2 linked regions of the Macaca mulatta genome follow. The protein of the gene in region 2 interacts with the protein of the main gene of each other region in a biochemical or structural test. Links are inferred from orthologs where the notes say so. Each region holds a gene or a part of one and is shown on either strand. Other genes may lie near its edges. The genes, in order: APOA1 and LCAT.

Region 1 (4,122 bases), on a different chromosome or scaffold from region 2:
TTTGAATTCATAAAGGAGGAGGCGCTCAAACTCCAAGCACTTCACTTGCACCCGGGGCCACACCCCAATCCCAGTGACTCCCTGAGGCCGCCCCGCTCCGTCCCGCCCCGCCCCGCCCCGCTGACAGCGACTGGGCTGGAGAAGGCTCTGTACGGAACACCTCTGGGGACGGGGAACCCACTGCTCCCAACTAAAGCAACCCTGTTTCCTGTCCTGCCCCAGACAGGGCTGCAGGCCTTGTCTGAGTCCCTTTCAGGGCAGCTGGCCTTGGATTGTCTGTGGCTTTGCCTGGTCCACTGTGACTTCCTTTCTACTTGAGCCTTGGTAAGGCAGACTCTACTCCCTCACTCGTAAGCAGCCAGGCGTCCAGCAGGTCCTCCAACGTCGATCTTGGCCCTAAGACGCCCAGTCTGGGCACGGAGTTGTTGAACTCCGGCTGGAAGTCCCTGCTCCAGGGCCAAAGGCCCCATCCGGGCTCCCCCGATGTCCCCGCACCCCCCTCTATTCTCCCAAAAGAAAGAAGCGGCTTCCCACTTCGGAAACGTTTATTCTGAGCACCGGGAAGGGGGGCGGCGGCGGGCGCCTCACTGGGTGCTGAGCTTCTTAGTGTACTCCTCCAGAGCGCTCAGGAAGCTGACCTTGAAGCTCTCCAGCACGGGCAGCAGGCCCTGGCGGAGGTCCTCGAGCGCGGGCTTGGCCTTCTCGCTGAGCGTGCTCAGATGCTCGCTGGCCTTGGCGTGGTACTCGGCCAGGCGGGCGCCGCCGTTCTCCTTGAGCGCCTCAAGGCGCGCGGCCAGGCGCTGGCGCAGCTCATCGCTGTAGGGGGCCAAATGCGTGCGCAGCGCGTCCACGTGGGCGCGCGCGCGGTCGCGCACCTCCTCGCCCAGCGGGCTCAGTTTCTCGTGCAGCTCGTGCAGCTTCTGGCGCGTGCCCTCGTGGAGCTCCGCGCGCAGCGGCTCCACCTTCTGGCGGTAGAGCTCCATCTCCTCCTGCCACTTCTTCTGGAAGTCGTCCAGGTAGGGCTGCACCTTGGCCTTCACCTCCTCCAGATCCTTGCTCATCTCCTGCCTCAGGCCCTCTGTCTCCTTTTCCAGGTTATCCCAGAACTCCTGGGTCACCGGGCCGAGCTGTTCTCGCAGCTTGCTGACGGTGGAGGTCACGCTGTCCCAGTTGTCCAGGAGCTTTAGGCTGGGGCGTGAGACAGAAGGGTTGAGGGCTGGCCTCCCAGCGCCCCAGCCTACCGGGGTGAGCCCTGGGCAACACCTGTTCGCGGAGGTGCAGTGGCCTTGCGTTTCCAGTACACGCTCAACCAAAACCCCTGCCCCGCCAGGCCATGCCCCTTTGTGCAGCTGGACCGAGGCACAGAGAGGAGCTAAGAAGGAGACAGAGCTGGGACTGGTGCCCAGTTACGTTGGTCACCAAAGTGGGCCCTTGAAGGACCTCGCTTCTATGCCTCCAGCACATTCGCCTCTCCGAAGACAGCCCACACTCTTGCTGGGCAGGGGTAGAGGAGGTGGTGAAGAAGGGAAAGGGGTCTGCTACACTTGCAGGCACAATGTGGCACTGTGATCACAGATCGGGCAGCCCTGGTCTGTCCTTTGCAAGGGGGCATGGGCTGTGACCCTGCATAGGGATCCCATTCCGGTTTCTCCATCCAGACCATCTGTGGGACCCAGCTCATCAGATAGTAGGTGAGGACTCGGCCAGTCTGGCTTCAACATCTTCCCACAGGCCTCTGGCCCCTGCCCCTGCCCTCAACCCCAGGCTGGGTCCTTACTTTAGCTGTTTTCCCAAGGCGGAGCCTTCAAACTGGGACACATAGTCTTTGCCGCTGTCTTTGAGTGCTTCCACGTACACAGTGACCAGGTCCTTCACTCGATCCCAGGGGGTCTGTGGGGGTTCATCTTGCTGCCAGAAATGCCGAGCCTGGCTCCCTGAGGGTGGGAGGGGAGACCCAGATCAGGCCAGCTGTGGGCTGAGATCTGAGCCAAAAGGCCAAGCTTGGAGGTGGGGGAGAGGGCGCTGCCTCTGCCCAGGAGGGTGGGCCACAGGGGTTTGGGGAGAAAGCCCCCCGATGGTTGGCTCCCTAGGCTGGGGGACACCTACCCGTCAGGAAGAGCACGGCCAAGGTCAGCACCGTAGCTTTCATCCTGAAGGGCCGTGGGGGACCTGGAGGAGAAGAAGGGGCTGGTTGAGTGGGGGGCCTCTAGCATGCAGAAGCCCGGTGCTCCCCCATTCATTGCAGCAAGGTGAGGAGAAGGGCGCAGAGTGGGAGAAGACCTCAGGTACCCGGAGGCCCGGCCTGGAGCAGGGCCTGACCCTCGAGCTGGGGAGCCAGAGTCACCCGGAGCAGGGAGCAGGACTCACCTCCTTCTCGCAGTCTCTAAGCAGCCAGCCCTTGCGGGGCCTATTTATGTCTCCAGCCAGGGGCTGGGCTGGGAGGCAGATAAGCCCAGCCCCAGCCCTGTTGCTGCTCACGGGTCCTGGCAATGTGGAACTTAAGAGTTCAAGGATCAGCTCTGTCCTTGGGGCTGGGCAAATAGAGTGGGCAAACAGCAAGCTGCGGGGGCTGCAGGGCAGGGGTCAAGGGTTCAGTGGGGGCGGGAGGGGAGTGTCTGCAGGCTTGCAGGTCCCTGGGGTGGGGTCGGGGTTCCCTGCACTCATCCCTTCCCCTCCATGGGAGTGTGTGGGCGGTTGCCATTGTCCATTGTGTTGACAGAGGAGGGGGTGGAGGGACGCTGGGACTCCTCCACCCAGGAGACCTCCTCCCCCACCATCCTGCATTCCAGGGAGACTACTTCACTCCCCTTCCCCTTCCCCCCGTCCTGTCCTCCCACCAGTGCGCTTCTTTAGTCCCCAGCAGGTCCTCCAGGCCTCTCTCCAAGCCTCCCAAACTGGTAAACCTGGGGAGAGGGGAGAGCGCTCCGTGGCTCCCAGACTGAGGTTTCGGAGACCTCTTGCATCAAAACACTCTTGAGACTGATTCAGAGCTGCCAACTTTTAATTCTGTCTTGTAAAGATATTGTAAAGACCATCACTTCAAAAAGGAAAGACTTGAACAAAAAAAGGGCATAATCTCAGAATTACATTACAGAATTGAAGCCCCTTAGATTGAAGACGTCTCCCTTCGCATTGTTCACACTTACATTTGATCACGCACAGGTGAGACTGGATCTCAGCCCTCGGGAAGCCCTGGTGTGGGGAGAAGACCCTCGGGTAAGGAAGTGGCAGGAGACCACCTTTCTCATTTCACTTGGCCTCCATCTTGCTGGAGGAAGATTGTGGGCAAGTTATGTAATCTCTCTGAGCCTCAGTTTTTTATCTGCAAAATGGGGCAAGAATGGTCAGGGTTTTTGGAGGCCCCTGAGACAGCCTGTGAACGTAAAGTGCAGTGTGTCCGTTCGTGTTTGCAGCATCATCTTGTCAGGTTTCTCCTGGAAGGCCCAGACCTCCCCCAGCAGGTTACTGACAGGACCTGAGTCCTAGAGCCCGTGATGCAGGCTGAGAAGAACTGTGAGATCACTCCAGCCCCTTCCCACGCCACCATCTCACAGATGAACAGACTGAAGAGCACGGAGGGACTTTGCCCAAAGGCTCTCATCTCTCAGGGAGTTAGACGCAAGGCTGGACCTAGAACCCAGTCTCTGGACTTAGGATGCAGGGCAGACATGTGCCCTGTACCATCACCCCAGGAAACTCCCTAACACTACAAACCAGCCTGACATCTCTGTTTACCAGATCAGGGAGTGGTCGGCCTCATGCCTTTCACTTCAGAGAAGATTCTGGAGCCAGAAAACCTTAGATTTGAATCCCAGCTCTGCCACTTACTAGCTGTGTGACCCTGGATGAGTTACGATGCGTCACCTCCCCACACATCAGTTTCTGATTGAAGATAATGATAGAACATGCCATCGCCCAGAGTTACGGCAGGGGTTACTGTGTGGCAAGCAGAATAACGCTCCCCAAAGATGTCCACATACTCATCCCTGGAACCTGTGGCTTTGCTACCTTCCATGGCAAAAAAAGATTTTGCCAGTGTGATTAAGGACCTGGAGATGGGGTGGTTGGCCTGGATTCTCCAGGTGGGCCCATTGTCATCACAGGGGTCCTTAGTTATACAAG
Region 2 (4,255 bases):
CGCCTGTAATCCCAGCACTTTGGGAGGCCGAGGCAGGCAGTTGACTTGAGGTCAGGAGTTCAAGACCAGCCTGGCCAACATGGGGAAGCCCCGTCTCTACTAAAAATACAAAAATTAGCCAGGCATGGTGGCACATGCCTGTGATCCTAGCTACTAGGGAGGCTGAGGCAAGAGAATCACTTGAACCTGGGAGGCGGAGGTTGCAGTGAGCGGAGATTGCACTACTGCATTCCAGCCTGGGAAACAGAGTGAGACTCCATCTCAAAATAAATAAACAAGTATTTTGTAAAAGGCCCAGCACAGTGGCTCACGCCTGTAATCCCAGCACTTTGGGAGGCTGAGGCAGGAAATCACTTAAACTCAGGAGTTTGAGACCAGCCTGGGCAACATAGCAAGACTTTGTTTCTACTAAAAAATAAAAATAAATTAGGTGTGGTGGTGCATGCCTATCGTCTCAGCTACCCAGGAGGCTGAGGCAGGAGGGTTGCTTGGGCCAGGGAGATTGAGGTTGCGGCTATGATCGTGCCACTGCACTCCAGCCTGGGCAACAGAGTGAGACCCTGTCTCAAAAAAAAAAAAAAAAAAAAAATGTAGGCGGGGCTTCCTGAGGACGGGGTGTGTGGGGATGGTGGGTGAGGCCCGGGATGTGTGGGGATGGTCAGGGCGGTGCTGGCTGTCTTCCCTTGGGCATGTGTCTCTCTGCTCCTTGTGTGGCTTGTGCTGCATTGGGGGCCACAGACTTGTGCTCCAGAAAGGGAGAAACAAGATGGTGTCTGTTTGGCATTTATTGGTGGTGTCTGATGAGTGTTTCTCTGTCCAGACTGTGTTTCTCTCTCCAGACCAGCTCCCACGGTACAGGGGGTGGGGAGTAGGTGGTAGCTGTGTCAGTGCTGGGCCCTGGTGCCACTCCCTAGGGAAGGGCAGGCGGGGCTCCGGGGGGTCTGGCCCTAGCTCTGGCAGACCCATCCTCAGTAAAGCACATCCCTCGGCAAAGGCACTCCTGCGAGCAAGCGGAAGGCAGGCAAGGGTTGGGTAGGCAGGCTCTGGGGCTACAAGGAACAAACCTGGGGGCAGATAGCTGGGGTTCACTTTCTGTTTTCACCGCCCTTTTGCCATCACTGACACAGACTCTGGAAGGAGCCACCCTAATTGCTCAGGCCAGGGTCACTGCTCTGGAGGCCAGTGACAGCGAGCATGCCTGCCCAGGGGTGGTAGATGGCACCCCCAGAGGCCACCGTGAGCAGGAGCCGCAATGAAGGCAGGCCCAGGATCAGCTTCGTCTCACCCATCGCTGGGCCTAAGTGGTCGAGGCCTTCTCACCTGAGGCCAAGACCAGCATGGGCTTGATGGAGCCGCCCCAGGGAGCCCCAAGAGAGATGAAGCCATCGATGAAGCGGTCCTTCCAGGCCTGGGGCTGGCGCAGCAGGAAATAGAGCAAGTGTAGACAGCCAAGGCTGTGGCCAATGAGGAAGACAGGCTTCCCATAGGCAGCGTGCATCTCCTCCACCAGCCCTGCGAGCTTGTGGTAGTACTCCTCCTGCTGGCCTGCAGTGGGTGGGAGGGGTCAGGGCAGTTGGGGTCCGGGGCACCTGCCCCACCCCAAGCTGGTCATCCGTAGAGACACTCACCGGGCTCCAGCCGCCAGTCATAGGGGGCGGCGCGCACAGTCTCGTCCCGCACGTAGCCGTTGTTGACCAGGTTCTGCACCAGTGTGTGCAGGTACCCTGTGGGGGGAGCAGCAGCACCGGGGGCTGGGCCGTGCCTGCTGCGGGCCAGCACCCCAGCCTGGAGCCCCAGCCCTGCCCTCTGACACAAACCTGCCAGCTTGCTGCTGTCCAGGTACTCCACAGAGTAGGTCTTGCCAAAGCCGGGGACGCGGATCTGGACACCGGGGGCGTTGGACACAAGCCCAGAGCTCCGGTTGTAGACAACCCTGCAGGGCGGGGGTGCCACTCAGCAGCCAATAGCCAAGGGGCAGTGTGTCGGGGCTGGGGCGGAGCACATGGCTGTACCTGGTGTTATCGATCCAGCAGTCTACCCCGAGGGGTAGGAACATGTTGAGATCCAGCCAGATGGTGAAGAAGTCCTCTGTCTTGCGGTAGCACATCCAGTTCACCACATCTGGCTTGTCCAGCTTGGCTTCTAGCTGATTCCCCAGGCAGCCGGGCACTGTGAGTAGTGGCCCTCACTCTGGACTCTGGATTCCCCCGGTGACCCTTACCCCAGTCACCCCAGATGCTGCAGTGACTAGACCCACCCCCAACCTCCCACACCCTCAACCCTAGGTACAAAGCACACTTACCCTCCCCTGCTCACACCCCCTCTCCCCGCTGTCCCCCCAGTAGCCAAAGCCCAGGCCTCCCTGAGGAAGGGAAGGTGCTGAGGTGCTGAGGCCAAGGCCGCTGACCCCTGCCTCTGCAGAGCAAACACCCAGCCTGGCGCTCCTTTATTTCCAAAGTCCAGGGTGGGAACAGATAGGTCTAGGGGCAGGGGGGCTGGGCTTAATAGGGGCCGGGCATGGATGGGCCTCTCCTGCTCACCGGTCCTGGGCTGGGCATCTTGTCCTTGGTGGGTGGGGGCCAAGGAAGGAGTGGTGGGGTTTGGCCCAGAGTCTGGTGTGGCTGTGGCTGACCACAGCTTGTGATGCCCCAGCCAAGACCTCAGGCACATCCTGTCCCCCACTCCGCCCCCCTGGGGTAGGCAACTGAGAGACACGTAGTCGGGCGTCGGGGAGAAGGGAGGTCATTCCTCTATGGGACAAGCTTTTGGCCCCTCCCCACACCAAGGCAGGTACTTACACCGGGGCATATGCAGGGCAGAAGGGTTTTGGCCGGGTCAGCTGCCAGGGGCTGGGGCCCAGGCTCCCCAGGGTCTGGCGTTTTGCATCAGGGGCCTGGTGGGGGCTTACCGAGGATGACGGGCCGTGTGTGGTTACTGAGCTCAGCCTTGGGCGTGGTGTGCGGGGGGAAGAGCACATTGAGGAGCCAGAAGGGGGCGGCAGGAGGGAGCAGCAGCCCCAGCAGCAGCGGCACCCACTGCCATGGGGAGCCGGGCGGCCCCATTCCAGCCCTGGTGCCTACTGCCAGAGGAAGCGGCACTGGGCTGGCCTTATCTGGTGTGGCAGTGGGAGGGGCCCTAGGGCCAGTGGGAGGGACGGCCTGGCCAGTGGGGGTTGTGGCCAGAGATTGCCGGAAAGGGGCACAGCCTTAGGGAGCCGGCTCTGGGCCTGGGTTCAGTTCCGCCTTCTTCTCTTGGCGCCAGGGGAAACAGAGCCGGGGCAGCAGGAGGCCCAGAAGTACACAATGTTTTATTGAAAAAGTCAGGCCTCAGCTCGGCTGTCTCCATTCGGCTCAGCTTGGTGGGGGGCCCTGCCCATAGTTGACTGAGCCAGATCTTCCTGCAGGCAGCTGGGCTGGACTCCCTCCCTGGCTACCCTTCCCTTCGTCTCTGATGGTGAGATCCAAATAATAAATATGCAATAAATAGCGCTCCTGGACTGGGCTGCGCCAGCTGCCTTCAAACCCCACTCGGCCCCAACCAGTCTTCTCTCGCCAGGACAGGCCTACTGGGGTGCTAGACAGTAAAGTCCCCAAACCTCCCACAGTCCCACAAGACCTGGGATCCATCTCCATTTTGAGGCCCAGGCCTGGTTTCCAAGGAGACCTAGCAAAGCTGGGTCCAGGACAGGGCCAGGCAAGCAGGGCTGGCAAGTGGGTGCTGGGAAGAGGCTGTTACCCCAGACCACAGCTTGTGATATCCTGGCCAAGACCTCGACTCCAGGCCACAAGGTGACACTGGGCTCAGGAGTAGATGGTGATGACTTCACGGCCACCACCACGCACCAACAGCACCCGCTCAAGGCCCTCGGTCAGTACCTCGAGGAACTCCATGTCTGCAGGGCCTCAAGTCAAGGAGGCAGCAACAGAATCAATGGGTAACCAGGGCCACCTGGGCCACACCCACCCAGGGGGCCCGGGAGAGGAGCTGCTGGCCTGACCTCCCACGCTGCCCACCTCCCAGTTGCTGCCCCTCCACAAAGGGATCCAGTTCTCGTCGCCCTCGCTGTTCTTGGGTGGGCCAGGCATGTTTAGGAGAACCAGGCGGGCGTCGTGGGAGCGCGTGACAATGACTTCATTGAGCTTCACAGCGGTGTGCATGCGTCGCACGTTGGACTGGTCCCTACACGTAGTGCAGCCAATCACAGGTCACCATAAGCCATCCTGCAAGGAGGGTCCCCACCCCTGGTCCACCTAAC

What was found.
Region 1: the proteins of LCAT (region 2) and APOA1 form a complex in vitro, tested with the Homo sapiens proteins (6 studies listed by BioGRID and IntAct, with this or other methods). The link is inferred for Macaca mulatta from reciprocal best matches to the Homo sapiens genes LCAT and APOA1.

Annotation. Positions count from the first base shown.
Region 1 is NC_133419.1:117,509,703-117,513,824, forward strand, and holds APOA1 (apolipoprotein A-I), read right to left. Parts: upstream 2,405-4,122; 5' UTR 2,150-2,404; coding exon 2,107-2,149; intron 1,935-2,106; coding exon 1,778-1,934; intron 1,189-1,777; coding exon 585-1,188; 3' UTR 528-584; downstream 1-527. UniProt on the Homo sapiens protein: Participates in the reverse transport of cholesterol from tissues to the liver for excretion by promoting cholesterol efflux from tissues and by acting as a cofactor for the lecithin cholesterol acyltransferase (LCAT).
Region 2 is NC_133425.1:63,519,997-63,524,251, forward strand, and holds the start of LCAT (phosphatidylcholine-sterol acyltransferase), read right to left. Parts: upstream 3,082-4,255; 5' UTR 3,063-3,081; coding exon 2,909-3,062; intron 2,217-2,908; exon of another isoform or gene 2,170-2,216; coding exon 2,013-2,169; intron 1,934-2,012; coding exon 1,629-1,933; intron 1,546-1,628; coding exon 1,321-1,545; intron 1-1,320. Other genes in the region: SLC12A4 (solute carrier family 12 member 4), read right to left, coding at 3,903-4,179. UniProt on the Homo sapiens protein: Central enzyme in the extracellular metabolism of plasma lipoproteins.